Linked DNA regions of Drosophila melanogaster. The protein of the gene in region 1 interacts with the protein of each later gene in a pairwise test. Each region holds a gene or a part of one and is shown on either strand. Other genes may lie near its edges.

Region 1 (7,347 bases):
ACCGCTAAGTAAATGATTGATTGGTTTTGAAAGTTTCTGGTTAGTTTTTAGCACAACAGCTTACACTTCATGGTCGAGTGAATATTGGCCACCATATTGTCGTAGGTCTTTCTGGTGTCGGGCAACAGGTAACGTCCTGGCAACTGACTCGATCTTAGCGAGGCCTTGATCCTGTCCCTCCTGGACAGCTGCGACAGCCTGGTCTTGGCGCTCTCCTCCTGTTCCCAGTCCCTTCGCAGCTGGGTGGTCAGGATGTGGTGCAAGGCCAGTCGATTGGTCATGGTCACGCTGTTTGTGGCTAAATGGTTATTTGCTAATTTCGAATTTAGATTGCGAATTTTGACTGCCAAAGTGGTCGAAAATTGTGGAATTTATTTTATATATTTTTTTTTATGAACGATGCCTCATTTTAGGATTTTAGAAAATAGTTCTGATATAATTTGGATTTATTCAGCCAAGGCAAGGGTGATCTCGAAATATGGTTTTGCAATCGATTTATTCATTTTTACACTTTATTTTTTATTAGTTTATTATTGTTTAAATAAGAAGAACGCAGCATATGATTCGTTTGCTTAAATAATTTAAAATACATATATAACTTCGCCGCATGCAATTATGAATTGGCTAAATTGATTTAGATTGATTTAGATTTACTACATCAGAGATCGATCTACAGGTGACTATTGATGTTCTTCCGGGCCAATTGGGCATAGATGGTGCCATGTGGCTTGTCCACTGGGATGAAAACTTCATTGTTGTCGCCGGGTGCAATCTTCTGGAAGGGCTTCGTATCGAAGTTGAAGTAGTGCTTGTTTGGCATGGTCATCGAAATGACCGACACCTGCGGCAGGACATCCAGGACCTGTCTTTCACTCAGATACAGGGTGTGCTGAACGGAGGGCGAGGACACGCCCACCTGCGGATCGCCAGCAAAGTTACGAATGATTATGTTTTTGACCGTTTGCCAGGCCCTGAGGAAGTCCAAGTTCTCGGTATCGGAGTACTCCCAGGAGCAATCCACCACGGTGCTAAAGATGCGATCATACTGATCTGGCAGAGATCTGAACTCATCGTTCACGAAGTTCACGAACGAGGATTGGGTCGTCTTCAGCACCCGGAGACCCTTGATGCCCGTGATGACCGTTTGTTTGGGATCTAAAACAGTAAAGGAGGTGATAATTTAGTAGTTTTAAATATTATTGCTTTAGTTATGTTTGACTTAACCTGTTCTCCTTATAACCACATCGCAGTAGTGAAGAGCGGTGGGCGTGAATATAAAAGCGTGATTGTGCAGTGATCTGTTGTCAATGGAGCTGAAGTCGCAGTTCCCTTGGACTCCGTTCTCGCACTTCCCATTGACGTTGGTCCTGGTCTCCTCCTGGCAAACTCGCTGCCAGGGATACGCCTCCACATGAACGTGCGCCTCCTCCACGTGCGAGTATTTGTTAATAAAGTGCCTGGCCAGGAGCAGAGCAAACTTCTCGGGACTTTCAATGCCATGCTTTTTCGCCAGCAAATAGACGGTGTTCTTCTGCGAATCGGTGGCCACGATGTCCGAGTTGTTGCCCTGGTAGTAATCCTTTTTGCTGTACAACTTCAGGTGAGTGCCCACCTCGAATTCCTGGATGGCGTGCACGGGTCCGTTGCGGCTGACATGCAGCACCTTGACCGCATCCTTGCCGTATCCGTGATCGGTAATCTCGTACTGATACGGCTTACCATGCTCATCCATGCCGGCGGAATTCTTTGGGGTCTGGTGGTTAGCCGCAGCTGGCTGTCTGAGGGGCGTGGCAAACATTGTGACTGCAATCACTCTCACTTTGATACTGATGATGCCATCAATTTCCTTGCCGCCTTTTATATCAGAACACCTGGATAACAACACAAATCTTTGTGTAGTTAGGGATTTTTTTTAGCGCATTTCGTAGAAAGCAAGTGGCTGGGAAATCGTATATCATCACTCTCACTTAGAGTATTAAAGGTCTAACTCAAATTACGACTAGTAGCGCTGATAATCGCGGCCTGGTGCCAAGTAAACATGACCAAGACTCAAGGCTATGTTTTCTATCTCCAAAACTTTGCATCTTGTTTACTTCACACTCATCTAACCAAATCCTTATTTTTGCAATATTACGTAGGAGATAAGTCGCAAATGCCGTTTTAACCATTAGCATCACTTTCGGGGGTAAATGAAAATTGGTAAATAATTTTTACAGATCACATCTCTGAATTTTATTCTTTTTTAAAATCTTAATTTCTCTCTTATTCACGCACGAGTCACTATTATTATTAAAACCTTGAAAATGTGTGCGTTGAAAAGATACATTTATTATTTCACAACATTGGAAAATAACAATTATTTCACCATAGAAAAAAAATATTAATTTACGTCTTAAATTTGATGTGACACTTTTGTTTATTAAATTTTAGGAGACCATTTTTAATATCCTTGATAATGGTCTTAAAAAATACACATGTTTAAGTTGAGTTTCTGGAATAATCTAATGTGACAGAATGTGTTCAGATGGATTCGACTGATCAAAAGTTTAGATATATAATTTATAGAATCGGAAACGCTTTACTTTACCAGTTACATACTGTTCAGTAAGCCTAGTATACCCTTTTAGTAAAGGGAATAAAAGGTTGGCATAGCAACTGCAGATCTGAAAGAGTGCAATTTGTAATAAAATGAAAGCTGTATTTGCAAAGAGTTTATCATTTCCGTGTGAGTCTAAACTTTTTATAAACCATTATTCTATTAAAAAACAAAACAATTTTATTATGTAGTGGGTCATAAGTACGTGTGAGCCAATCTACATATGTATATCAAAATATTTATTAACTAACCTATAAAATATAGAATGGTTTTTTCAAATACTCATAAACAGTAAATGACAATACACATATAGATACTATTATATATCACTATAAGATAGGGCGTTTAGTCTCGATTTATTAGCTGGAGGATTTAAACATACCACTTCAGCTTAGTGTTAAGTCAGTTTTATTATATGGATATAGAAAATGTCAGATGTTCTCTGCTATCTTGTGGTGGTCAAATTGCTCAGCAGCCAAATAATCTACTCTCTGCATAAAATTTCTATCTACAGAAGCTGTGGCTTAGTGCTAATCCAGTTTAATCTCATACATACTCTGGGTGAAGATATTTCAAAAGATATGTGCGCGCTTTTTTAAGATATACATTTGACATATATTTGTTTAACACGGTTTTTAGGAGCGTGCCTTGTATGCATAATGGTCTCCCACGATCCGAAATAGCTATATTCATATGTTTGTTGGCAAGTTATGTAAGTTCCGTTTTTGGTTATTGGCTTAAGATAAACTCTATGTTGGAATTGAAGTGTCATTGTTTGTTAAGCGAGAGTTTTATTTAGCAAAGATAATAATATTCGTGTTTATATAAAGGTTTTGATTTCACGGTTAAGTAAATTTGATAATAAAGTTTACTTTCGCATAAGCACGCGTCATAAAGTTATTTGGCTTAGTTTATGCATTATATTGTAGTACTCTACTGATATGATAAACTATATGATCTTGAAGATGATGATATGATTGTAAACGAGTAGAGAACCCCTGCCACATGAATCATCCCCAAAAGATGTACCGCCTGGAATTTAATCTAATGGATTGGTAGTTTTATGAAGCTTTTGGCACCTCGAAAACATGTTGTCCGCCCCAAAGTTTTGCGTGCGGTTCAGTGAACTAAAGTGCGAGTTATGAATGAGAGAGTCTTAGACAAGTGAATGCTTTTGTTGTCGACTCCACAAACAAAAGTGCAAATTGTTTTCCAGTGAAACCTGCGACGCACCCATGTAAAATATTATTTTTTGGCAGGCAAACATCGATGTCTCGTGAACCGCAACGAGTTAGTTGCGTCTTTGAGCGCGTTACCAGCGGACGAACAACGACATGGAGCTGCCAATAGTCCTTCTCTTGGTACTGAGTGTCATTCCATTTGAAGCCCAGGGAGCTGTGCACGATGAGCTGCCCCAGTGCGGCTTACATGGTGTTTACAGGCAGCGACAGAGTCTCGTCGAATCGCCCAACTATCCGGACAACTATCCGGTGAACACCTGCTGGGATTATGTGGTGCGATCTCCCTACCGCTGCCCCACCAAGTTTCACATACAGTTCTTGGACTTCAAGCTGGAGCTATCGGAGAACTGCAGTCGGGATTACTTGGCCATTGGCCTGAACAACGATGGCGACGACATGGAGGTCTTGTGCGGTCAGGTGCTGGGTATCAAAAAGTATCACACCCCCGATGGAGTCCTGCGTCTGCGCTTCCTTAGCGATGATTCGCCTTGGACAACCAACGGTGGCTTCCGTTTGCTCATCACGCGTTTGGCCTGCGAAAGGGAGGACTTGGTGGCCAGGGGTCTGGACGATGACGAGGAGGACGTAGATGGCGACACGGTGCAGGTGAGCGCCAAGTCGCCTCCGAAGAAGCTGCTCACCCAGCATCACCATCATCACCTGCCACAGCAAAGCCATCAGCCGCAACTGGAGCCAGCTTTCAACTATACGCAACCAAATCGGTTGGGGTTTAATTTGGGCTTACAACCAGGTCTTGGTTATCCCGGTGGATTATACCCACCGCCTGCGGGATTACCACCCCAGTACACACCGCCATGTGCTCCCCAGCAGCAGCAACTGTTGCAGCAGCAGCAGGAGCAGCACCGATTCCTGCAGCAACAGCAATTACAACTGCAGATCCTGCAGCAACAGCGACTGCAACAGCAGGTCCTGCAGCAGCAGCAGCTGCAACAACAAGTACAAGTTCAACATCCACAGCAACTTCAACTTTCCCAGCAGCAGCAGCAACTGCAGCAAGAGTTGCCCCTGATTTCCGATCAATATCAGACCACATCCTTTCAGCCACATGCTGTTACTCTCAAGGATTACGATGCCCAGACCTTGCAGCAGTTTGGTGGTCAGTTGGATCTCTGCTGTGCCAGCAGCTTCAATCAGAATCACTTCTATCTCTCCAGTCCCGGATTTCCAAGGACAGTCTTGAACTATCTGCTACCCAATCAGCAGAGGGATTGCGTATTTTACATCGAGAAGAGCTCACCAAATGTCTGTCGACTGCGGATTCAGTTCAAGTTCTTTGATTTCGGTCAGAATTCAGGAGGTTCAATTGGAGGCAGCTTTGGTGACGGATTCGGTGGTGGAGTGTCCGGTGGATTGGGCGGCGGACATAGTGGCGGTTTTGGAGGCCAACATAATTGCAATGGTGACTTTCTGGAGCTGGATGGTCAGCGCTATTGCGGCTGTCGTTCCGGCTATGTCCACAAATCGCATTGGGATCAGGGTCGCAAGGCGCTGCGCATGCGCATTGGACAATCGAGCAGCACCACGTCCAATGGCTTTCTGCTGGAGATATTCCAGGATCAGGACTCCGATGGCTGTCGTCAAGATGCTGGCCAAGGATTTGGTTTGGGCTTGCAACCGCAGCAACCTCAAAGGGGATTGGGTTTGTGGCCACAGGGGTTACAGCCTCAGTTGGGCTTGCAACCTCAGTTGGGCTTGCAACCTCAGTTGGGATTACCCCCGCAAACCGCACAAATGTGGCCGCTACAACCTGGTTATCCTGGCTATATCAGTGGATATCCCCTACCCTTTTCGGCCACTCCCTACCGAACGGCGAGAAGGATATCCTATGCCCGGGGCATCGATGCTCAACAGCCATCGAGAGTGGTGGAAACTAACTCCACTCGCAAGGAGTTCTATTACTTCGACGGCGACGAGGCCTTTGCCCGTTCTGCTGTGGACGATGAGGATGAGGATAAGGCTCACCTGGGCGTCACAACTCAGCCACAGTCTTCGTCCCAATCCATAGTTAAGCCAGAGTCACCTCTGGTTACGAAGGCCTTTGAGCAAAGCAGTTGCTCCTTTGATTACATGGAGGTACTTAAACTTTCAGTCGACACTCTCTGGTTAACTAAACCCTTGTGCTTTTCGCCGCTAAGAAGTTGGTTCCCAAACATTTTTGGCTGAAGGTATATTACAAGCTGGGCAACTAACTATAGCTACAAATGTTTTAATTATGTAAAAGATTGAAGAGCTAATAAAAATACTAGGGAATTCTAAATGCTATTTTATGTATTTTTGGTAAGGAATGTATTTAATATAATATTTTTTCGTTTCATGACAATGACTCCAAATTTACTCAGCATTAATCTGCGATCCTAACCCGCGGCATCCGTATTTCACCAATTTTGTTAACGTCATAGTGAATGTATAAAGAAAATGTGATAAGGAATGCGTCTTTTCACTACGCTTAGTCATCCCACTGGAGGCTTACACGCTCGTTGGTCATTACTGCGCTAAGGCACGAGCTCCAGCAGCTCCACCCTTACCTCTATCCACTCCGTATCGCAATCCCCACGCCGTTGTCATCCACAGATACAGATGCTTTCCAAATAGATAACCATGTCGCCACATTGTTTTCTCAGCAAACACTGAGCAATAGTTGGCCGAGAATCTCGGCCCCATTCAATCTCAATGTCAGGGTGGCACTTTCGCACTTCCGCAGATGTGTTAGTTGGTTCCATTTACAATCGCGGTACTTATTTGGTTTAAACAATGAGTCGGAGTTGTTGTGGAAGTGAGAAACTATTGAAGATCTGTTCAATTTACTAGCACTAATTACACCAAAGAAATAGTTCCATCCTCCAATTGTACATAAACATTTCAAAATGTAGTAGAAAAGTAGATTAACTCTTAAAATTTCGAGTTTTTATTATTATTTTAAGAGTATAGTATCAATGATACATGATGATATGCTAGGAAATGCTTAATCGAACCCTTAACGTCAATTGAAAACGCCTTATCACCATTTAATTGCATACGAATAATAGTATTTCATAAGTTTATTTGAAATATATATATATACTTCTCGACTTTACATTAAAGATAGTTTCAGTTAGTAAGTAGTTAACACGTACACATTTATATATTAATACACACATTTTCAATATTCTCGTATATACACACTGATTTAGCGTTGGGGATTGTGGATCCATTTATCTCATTATAATAATAGTGTAATGGACCGAGAAGACGTTACGAGACTTTAGAGTGATATGGCAACGTTTTGGAATTGTTTGGATTAGCACACGCGACGACCACAATGAAATTAACAAAAGGGAGCGAGCTACTATAACTTTGTTTATTTCGTTAGTATATACAAGACATTGAGAGTTATAAAAGTTTTAATTGTCTACAATTGGAATTAGGGGAGGCTTACAAGGGTCTCTAGCCCTAGTGAGATAACGAAGTATTTTTAGTTCAGCTCGTTTAGCTCTTTTAGACGGGTTAAGT
Region 2 (9,930 bases), on another chromosome or scaffold:
TTTCCTCCTTGTGCGCACGAGTCGCACTGTAGATGCCGTGACCAGCCTCGGCGGGAAAGGCTTCTAGGGACATGAAGTTCGCTTCACTCGCAACCGTCACCAGTGAAACTTTATCCGTATCTTCCAGCAGCTGGAGCATTTCGTGAACTGAAAATAAACACAATTGATTTTGGTTGTCTTTCAATAAGAATCAATAATTTACCAAAGCTTTTTGAGAGGTCGAATAACTCCGCGCTTAGAGCTGATCCCACGTCGATGAGGAAGAGCACAAATTTCTGCTTAATAGCTGACACGTAGAGCTGACGAAAATGGAGGCTAGCAGAGGCTCCATCCGAATTGGATAGGAAATATATGTGTTTAAAGTGATTCCCGCTAATTGGCTTGCTATTCGAGTTTTCCGCATCGCTTCGACTGAGCCTGCGCTTGAGTAGTACTAGTTGATTCGATATGTAGCCATTGACAGCCAAGGAACGGGCATTATTCTCATTCAGGAAGGTAGCGCGTGCATCATCCGACTTGAGATAGTTTAGGATTTGGATCTGCTGTCTGTTGTAGTGAATCGATTGGGTCGATGAGGAGCCGTACTCCAAGTCCGTTTCGTAGTCAGGCTGGCAGCTCTCTATTTGGGTGTTCAAGTAGAGCTGCACATGCTCATCGGTTGGTGAGGCCGTGTTCCTGGCATGTAGATCTTCCAGCTCCATTTCTAGATCCATTTCGCTCTCCGACTCATCATCCTCGTCGTCGTAGCTGTATTGCCAGACCTTGGTCAGGTTGTAGCGAAGCAGTTCGCGCAGTTCCAACACCACGTAAGTGGCTTTCTGGATTTTCTTGCTCAGACGCTCACTAAACAATTGCAAGTCCCGCTGCAACTGGGGATTGACCACGTTGCTATCGTTGCTCGAAGCTTGACGAGTGTTTGACGCTCCTTTGGCGCTGCTGAAGTGCATGGAGTCAAAGATTTCCTGGAAGGGGATTGTGGGCATTAAAATGGAGTTTAATAGCTTGTGCAGTATTGATAGCCCACCTGTATCTTGGCCACCCTCAGCTCCGTATTACGAATATTCCGCAGCTTGCCCTCCATGCTATGTCGCAGCTGCATGGCATTCTGCTGGTTGTGGTGCACGAAAAAGACGCTTCCCGGCGACTGCTGCAGCGGCATGAAGCCAGGATCCGTAGGCACTTGGTTGCTAGTTGAATTGGCCATGGCCAGAGGAACATGTTGGCTGCTAGTTGGGCACGCCAGCACTGCCAGGATGAGCAGCACGGCGTTTAGGTTGCTGTTGGGCCACATGGTTTTTGTGGTTCCGGCGGACTCCGTGGCCACTGGGGCATACTATTGAATTTACCGCATATCTGGAAGACAATGAAATGTTAGCTTGAGTGGTTTCCTCTTAAGGAATTCTGTATTACCAGGTTCTTCTCGAGCTGCACGCTGATTTGTTTACGGAATTTCGTCACATAAATCTCGCTGATTCCTCGGTTTTAGGCATAGTAAGCACGTGTACATTGCCCACTGGCTCAGAGACAACAACTAATCAACATAAATACACTCTTATTCGTCCGATTAAGCTATTAAATTTAATAATTTTGTCAATGTTTTGCAGATTTTCTTAAAGTTCCACATGCGCAGTGTGACCGTATGTCGTAGATTATAGGGCAGCATGCGGAAGATACAAAAATGCACGACACAGCAGTGTGGCTGCATACGACTTTACAGTTAAAATGTGGTTACCCTAGAAATAACGTATTTTCGAAAATTGTAAATTGCTAAGCGTTTTATAAGTTGCATTTATTCAATATTCTTGAAATGCATACGCACTTAAATAAATAATAATTACATTGAAATGTATTCTTAGTTAGATTTTCTATAAATTATTTTGCAAATTAATGCTCTTATAACACTTTCACTTTTTATGTGCATCTAAAAGCAAAACCAAAGTTGAGCCTTTGCCAATTATTCGCTCATCCGTTGTCAAGGTTGTGTGCATTTGATTCTTTTTTATTTTTGTCGGCTGGATACGTGACTATGTAGTCCGAAGATGGAACAGATGCAGTCCAATTGGTGTCAGACGAACAAGGTGCGTGTCCGGCATGATAAATATTGCAATGGTTCCAATTGTTTAATATAAAAATGAGCAAATCCCAAATATTGCACCGCAGTTTCAATCGAGCCGTTCATTAAAATGGTGACAAAGGTATGATGTGGCTATTTAATAAACATTTTTACGTAAATCTTTTTGGCATTCCTAAAGTTGCTTCTACTGCTGCCATTTGTGGCCATTGTACAAGCTGAAGTGGATTTTACCGGTGGACGTATAGCACCTTATGCACCAACTGGTTGGCATCCGCAGATTCCATTCAACTTACCCAACGAGTATGTGCCTGCTATCCGATCAAGTCAGGGAGTAGAAATCACAAAGGCACGAGTGGACCAGTTCGATCCAGTGGAAAAGCCCCAGCCAAATTATTTGCCTCCAAATCAACTGGATATACCCGAGGAAGAGATTTTGCCCACCTCACGACCGTCCAACAAGTACGGTCCGGCAGATCCGAAATTTAAAATCATTTATCCTGATGATGAGGAGCCAGTTACTGCAAAAAATATCGTAGACAATCAGCAGCCCAAAATCAGAGAGGGACGTTACTTCGTCATTTCGCAGGACAATAAACTACAAAGAGTTTCTTTCAGCTCCCAGCAAAACGCAGATGCAGATGCAGATGATTTTACGGCTCAGTTGACTTACTCCACTGTGGGGCAACTCAAGGATCCTGTGTATCGATACAACAGACAGGGACAACTGGAGCGGGTCCTGAAGTAGGCAATTTGGATATAGCTATTTGAATATGTAAAATAGAGTTGTGCAATGTATTCAATTCTCAGAATGAATTATCTTGTTAATTATAAAAACAGTTTGGTTTTTCTTTTTGACTTTGTTTTATACAAAAATGCTTCTTTATTCATTTAATAATTATTAAATATACACAAAAATCTCATAAGTTCGTTTCACTTTCGAATTTCCATTTTCGTTTAAAAACTAAATACAATCCTTATGCATGTATGTATGAATGCGTAATGGTCATGTTGTGGGTGAATGGTGTGTTGGAGTGTGTGCGTAGACTAACACAAAATGAAGGCGCTTAAACAAAACAAAACGGCAAGGAGTTCCAGGTGTAGAGACGGAAAACAGGATAACGAACAGCAGTGAAACGGAAACGGAAAGGAACGCGCCTGTCTATGGCAAAATGGCGGGCGTCCCACTAAGGGTATGCACAGAGATGGGAATAGGGTTATATGGATAGACTGACTGCGATCGCTGGCCCACTGGCTGGATGTGCGTTTAATACTCGGCCAGCGATCCCATGAAGTAGACGAGTATAGTTGCGGGGTCGACCTAAATCGGGTATCCTCACTTCCCCATCTTAGTAGCCGTTGAATTTGCCCTGCTGCGCGTTGCTATCATAACCGCCACCGTTGCGACCATTGCCATTGCCGTTTCCGTTGCCATTGCCGACCTGCTCGTACCGAATGGTTGGGCGGTATCCATTCTGGTCGGCCTCGTACTCAACAATCTGTTTGCGTCCATCGGGCAGCAGGACGTAGTAGCGGCCCACAGCAAGATCACCATCGCGGGACTCCATGTGGCCGAAGTCATTGCCCGACTCGTAGTCCTGTACGTCGTACTTGAACTCGTACTTGGCCGGTCCATACTGCTCCTCATCCCGTTGTCCGTAGCCGTTGCCGTTGCCATTACCGCCGCCATAGCCGCCGTTTCCGTTTCCGTTTCCGCCCTTGAAGATGGCACCAGTCAGCGCTGGAGCACCATATTGACCCTGGGGAGGAGCGATGGGGGCGCCATAGCTGTTGCTGGGCGCTCCTCCATTGCCACCGGCCCGCTGGGGTGGCAAGTAGTTGCTCGACGGCGACTGGTAGCCCTGCGTGGGCGGCAGGTAGTTGTTGGACGGCGCCTGAGGCGACTGATTGGGGGGCAGGTACTGGTTCTGGGGAACTGGTGGTTCCGCATGGGTCCAGGCAGCCAGGCACACGAGCAGGGCAATGGATGTAAAAGCCTGGGAATGAAAATTCAGGGTTGCATTTACATTACAGTTTTCGTTTTGAGTTGACAACCCTTGATTGAACACTCCGTCCCTGACAGCTGTCATTCGAAATTAAATAAGTCCTATTGTTAAGCTCTCGTGATTTTGACTGATTAAATTAAAGCTTAAAAGAAGCAGCTATGACCGATTCGGACGAATCTTCCTGGATTCATTGGTTTTGCAAGCAGCGTGGCAACGAATTCTTTTGCGAGGTGGATGAGGAATATATCCAGGACAAGTTTAACCTTAACTTTCTTGATTCGAACGTTAAGAACTACAAATGTGCCTTGGAGGTGATCCTGGATCTTAATCCGGGTTCAGCTTCGGAAGACCCCGCTGAACCAGAACTGGAGGCTAGTGCAGAGAAACTGTATGGCTTGATCCATGCTCGCTTTATCCTAACCAACAGGGGCATCGAACTGATGTTGGACAAGTACAACAAGGGCGAATTCGGCACATGTCCACGTGCATTCTGCCATAGCCAGCCGGTGCTGCCCATTGGTTTGAGTGATAATCCTGGCGAGGATATGGTACGCATCTATTGCCCCAAGTGCAATGATGTGTACATTCCCAAGGCGTCGAGACATTCGAATCTGGATGGAGCCTTCTTTGGCACTGGATTCCCTCATATGTTCTTTATGGAGAAACCGGATGCTAGGCCCAAGCGGGCAAAGCAGAAGTTTGTGCCCAGGTTAGATCTTCCGTTTCCTGTGTTTCCTTCTATTTCCCTATGTTTTTAAGGTAGTTACTAATAATGTATAACTAATGTAACTATGTTTTCCCAGGCTTTATGGCTTTAAAATCCACCCCACGGCCTACCGTACTGCCGCTGAGATCCAAAAAGATGTGACAATGACGCCAGTAGGAGAAATCGATAGCCCATCCCACATTTGATCCTAAAGCTAAAATTTCTCATAAGCAACTGTCGCGTACTTCTCGAATAAGTGGGCACTGTTCGCCCGGCTGGCTGCCAGCTCATTAAACTCTCATAACAATAACTGCTCAGGCTGTGACCCGCTTGACAATCTTTTGTTTGGATTTGATGGCCTGCGAGCAGGCCCAGAATTGGCTTTGTCTTTCCCATCTTTACAGCATTTAGCTGAGGCATATGCAAATCTGTAGTAATTGGGTCCCAGGTGAAGCTCCCATCGGATTGGATTGGATTTAGCTGGGCTGCAAGTGAAGGGCTAATCTCGTGATCTTGCGCAATGCGTCTGAATCTTAAGTATTCGCCGTGTGGCGCGGACAACCTGTGGGAGAACCACTTCGGCTCACTCTTACACAACTTATTTCCGAATCTTGTGCAAAAGATCTTCTGGCCGAGTGTTTAGGCACAGGGCCGTCAATGACTTTCATGCTTCATTGGCGTTAAAATGCTATGCTTTTTGGCTGCGCTTTTGTCTGTATTTTTTTTTTATCGCCGCCTGGTCATCTCCAGACTGCCTTACTTGGGCATGTCCAGTAGTTCTTCTTCCGCCACTTAAAGTTTCTCTAATTTATTCATTGCAAAATGACCCCAAGCAGCGGCAGCTGTTGTTGCTTCTGTTTGTTACCCACACCCTAGAAATGAACTGGGATCGCTGGTTGCAATTGTTTCCCAGGCGAATGATATCGGTGTTCTAATTCCGCAACCTACCATAAAAAACAGTAGCTATCCTAAACAAATTGATGGTAATCTTAACTGCGATGATGATGGCAACTTATGAAATTTATTATGCGGATCTCCGCTTGATTAATCACCCAGCTGAACTTGACTTTTAATATGGCTCAAATATTAATATTTCATGTCTTTTCCTTCCGATTAGCTGATTAAGTGCTATGTGAGACAATGAAAGCTTCATTAGTTTGATGAGTTGTTTAATTGATTGATCGATCTATTGCCAAAAACGATTTTAAATGAGGGCTATTGATTGGATACAGAAAAATGAATACAAAATTCGAACATATTTTAGCACCTTTGCAATGCAGAAAAAGATATGGGCAAATATTGTGATGTTTATTTGATCATTCTAAGATTTTGTAACCCAACGTTGTTTGTATGTTAGCTACAGCAAACTTCAATATCCTTTGAAAATTTAACAAAAGGTCGAAACTGTATCTAATAAAGGACCTATATTGAATGATCTTTATAGCTATTCAAGTTTTATATCCTTTAGTCATATCGTTTCCCGAATGCCGAATGAGGCATTGTATTTCGTTTTGGCTGCCCATATCCTTTTGTGAGGACTTTTTTTTTTCACACAGCACACCACTTGGCACTTGACTCGAAAGTTCTATTCGGCTATATACCTTCATTTTGTGTTGTCACTTGTTTGGGATTTTGGCACACACGAAAACGGTTTTTGTTAACTTTGCTCTGTTGGCTGTGTTCTTCTTGCGAAGATGGTTGACTTGATTGTGATACTGAAACAATTTCGTAGGCCAGTATTTATATTTGAAATGAGCAGCAGCTAACGCGGCGGCGTCGACGTCGGCTTCAAAAAATTGCGCGCCAAAATGTGTGTGTTTTTTGTTCAGCTTAGTTCGTTATTTCAATTTTCGGTTAGTCGAGAAAAAAATGAGTGCCACAGTGCCGAACGAGCACTTGAAAAACATTACAAAATAATGCAAAGCACACGGAGCTGAGGAAGAGCAAATCGCTCTCGGTGGTGCTGCCGAGAAAAGAGGGAAATCGCTTGAGGTGGATTTGTTATAGTAAACTAGTTACTTTGGAAATTAAAGCGCCAAACATTTTGACGATGCTGACTTCGTATCTGCGGTCGGGTTCGGCAAATGAGCGAAGATGAGTGCCAAACATTCAAACAAATGAGACGAGGGAGTACCGCGCTCCTGCGGCTGCAGGCCATAAACATTTGTTGCCGCTCGTGTAATAGCAGAAACACTTATTTGTAATGGAATTAGTCATGCAGCAGGCAGCGGGCAGCGACGTCGACGGTAGCGTCCAAAAGCCAAGTGAGCGGAGGCAGCTGCTCCACGCATCTTCATCTCGCATCGGAGGCTTCAGCTTCAGTCGTGCGGCAGCTTCAGCGGCGGCCGCCTCGAAAGGCGAAGCAGAAACAAAAGACTCAGGCAACGAACTTGCTGCAGGCAATGCTGCTGCAAATTGTTTCCCCTTAGTGCGTGGGAGTTTTCGCTGGGTTTTGCTCGGTTTTGTTTTTCAGCACAACTAATGAGCTGGATTATGCCCCCGACTTCACAAATGTGTCCGTTTGGATTGGCGTTGACATGGATTCAAGTCGGATAAGCTGCAATTGAGCTGTGAGCACAGCGAGGGAAAAAGAGTTTTAAGATACGTTATCTTCCTTGCTGGGAAAGATACGCTCTGGTGTCGAAAATGTTGATTGTTATTAAACTGAGCATTAGTAACGGCTTGTAGTTGCTTTGCGAATCAAAATTACCTAAAGATCTCTTCAACATTCATTTATGGGTGAAACATTGCTCCAATTTAAATGAGATCAATTTATTTATATATTTACTTTATAAACAAATAATTTGTAGAGAGAAATAAGTTTTAAAATAAACACATATTTAAAAAAAATAACATAATTTTTTTTTCTATTTGTCCATTTCCTGCAAAACGTATTGAAATGTGTATGCTCAATAGTTTTGGATACTTATTTATCCCATTAAAAAGTCGATTGCATAACAAAGGAAACTTGAACTCTTTAAAAATACTCGAACACAATACTTGACAATAGGGAAAAGTAATTCAATATTTTTATTGCCATATTCCATGTTCATTTAAACAGTGGGCGTAGCATCCATCACGATCTGCAAATATTTCTTTGGTCAATTGTCTTTTGGCTCATTGGTCGAATGCGTAGCAAATTAAAATTTTTATCATTTTGTTATAACGGACCCTGCTTATTTTGCGATTTGGCACGAGCTGACTTTCACATTCGATAATGCCAAGTTTATGAGTTGTAAATTTAAAGGCCGTGCGAAGCCACGCCCCAAATGAGCTGGAAATTAATGAGGTATTGAAGGGATTGAAGGGATGGGGTGGGATGGAATTGCTTCCTCGCTGCGTATTCCCCCAAGTGATTTTCTGCAAGTAATACTCGACCTTGCCACAGACCACAATAAAAATAAATTAGAGAATATACAGCCAAGCTTTTGTAATTACCAAGATCATTTGGAGTTATGTGTGCAAATATGCGAATGCGAAAAATTCAAATAAACAAACAGAAATTATAGCAGAGCAGTTAAGACTTGACTTCATAATGGCTAATATGAATCTTGAAATGTAAGCAAAACAATTAAATAAATAAACCTTCGTATGCCGCATTCCTTGTCTCGGAAACCAAAACTGAAATTCATTTTCAATAGCACTCCATGAACGACTTCAAATCTGTTTTCGGTTTTCAGTTTTCAGCTTCAGTCTTCTGCTTGTTTTTTTTTTTACGTTTGTAATCATTTTTCCAGCACATTAAAAAATCATTTAATTTCCTGCATCGGCTAATTTACATTGAACGTGCCAGACAGAGAGGCCATCTAGACGGAGTTTTGGACTTGGAGTTGTACATGGAGATGGAGATCGAGATGGAGAGGAAGCTAATGGCACCCAGCCAGGTGATGATGCGCCAAGTCGAAGACAATGACGATTTGTAATTTCTGATGGCTGCTCTAGAGCTTCGAGAGGGGCGGACCTTGAAATACATACATGTATCCGTATCTGTATCTGCAGATCCGAATCTATGTTTGCTTTGTAACCTAGAATGCTGACGAGTGGAGCGCCGCGAACGTGTAATTTAAATTAAACTACGATAATTTCTGATGCAATGCCCCCCCAAGACGGACAGAATCAATTAAGGCGTCTTTTGATGTAAATTGCGCCTCACTTTGAATATGCCGTGCCACTCTAGATGATGATATTTCGAGAGCGATTTTGGATTCGAGATCTCCGTGGCTCCGACTTCTTCGCACACCGACTGCATTTTTCGCCCGACGCGAAGGTCGCTGCCTTTTGCCAGAATCCGGAGTAAAAGTCGATTGACTCACACACAAAATTGCCAAACTTTGACATTTTGGAACCGCTCTAAAGTGAACTGAAGTGGATGTGAGTAAGCTGGGTGTGGATGAATTATGATACGGATGACTATAAGGAAATTGGGGGTCTCAACAACAGATTCTTCCGAGAACCTATTTATAAAGAAAGCTTACCTTTTATTTAATAAATTGAGAAAGCAAATCTGCTTAAAAAAGGCCATGAAATAAATCTATAATATTGTCGTTTAAACACCTATTTTCGTTTAACGTCTTAATTAACAACTTCGAAAATCATGTCGTCAGTTATTGATAACATTCCGTCAAGAGGCGAAGGCACGCGAAGGTCGCACCTGGGAATCTTTGGCGCTCATCCTCCGTGGCTCCACTCACCTATGGCATTTGAGCGATGGACCCGATCTCGATCGCTCTGCAACTCAATGGCTGTCATAAAAGACGCATTCACAGTGCACTCCATACTCCATAAAGTAATTACACTAACACACAGGTCGCCTTGTGCAGTTGGCCAAATTGCCAAATTAGTTGCTGCTAGTGCAGCACCATTCAGTGGAGCCCAACTCTCGCAGCTCTGGGCTTTTGGATCTCACTACTACTCGGCATAATTAAAACGTATGCGAAGCAATTAAACTTGAAACAGAACGGTGGGGCAGAAGGAGCTGGTCTGCGAGCTGTGGCACGGGCATTCATATGCGGCTAAATTCGGGCGCAGGCAGGGGAATAATGATTGATGTCGGCCTATACACTCCGAAAAAAAAATCGATGTTCTCAAAAAGTAAATACGTAAAGTTTAGACAAAGAACATGGCTTTTGATTCTGTAATTTAACTGG

The links. The genes of interacting proteins can lie anywhere in the genome.
Region 2: the proteins of Uro (region 1) and Cpr56F interact in a two-hybrid assay, tested with the Drosophila melanogaster proteins (one large-scale study listed by BioGRID).

Annotation. Positions count from the first base shown.
Region 1 is NT_033779.5:7,774,569-7,781,915, reverse strand, and holds Uro (urate oxidase), read right to left. Parts: upstream 1,832-7,347; 5' UTR 1,799-1,831; coding exon 1,225-1,798; intron 1,156-1,224; coding exon 671-1,155; 3' UTR 501-670; downstream 1-500. Other genes in the region: CG7164 (uncharacterized protein), read right to left, coding at 1-4, 65-281; CG7179 (uncharacterized protein), read left to right, coding at 3,931-6,021. UniProt on the Drosophila melanogaster protein: Catalyzes the oxidation of uric acid to 5-hydroxyisourate, which is further processed to form (S)-allantoin.
Region 2 is NT_033778.4:20,285,444-20,295,373, forward strand, and holds Cpr56F (cuticular protein 56F), read right to left. Parts: upstream 6,503-9,930; 5' UTR 6,391-6,502; coding exon 6,385-6,390; intron 5,108-6,384; exon of another isoform or gene 4,990-5,107; coding exon of another isoform or gene 4,881-4,989; intron 4,787-4,880; coding exon of another isoform or gene 4,236-4,786; exon of another isoform or gene 4,102-4,235; intron 4,069-4,101; coding exon 3,421-4,068; 3' UTR 2,928-3,420; downstream 1-2,927. Other genes in the region: CG16868 (uncharacterized protein), read right to left, coding at 1-147, 203-962, 1,025-1,291; CG34199 (uncharacterized protein), read left to right, coding at 2,184-2,195, 2,253-2,819; CkIIbeta2 (casein kinase II beta2 subunit), read left to right, coding at 4,236-4,786, 4,881-4,989.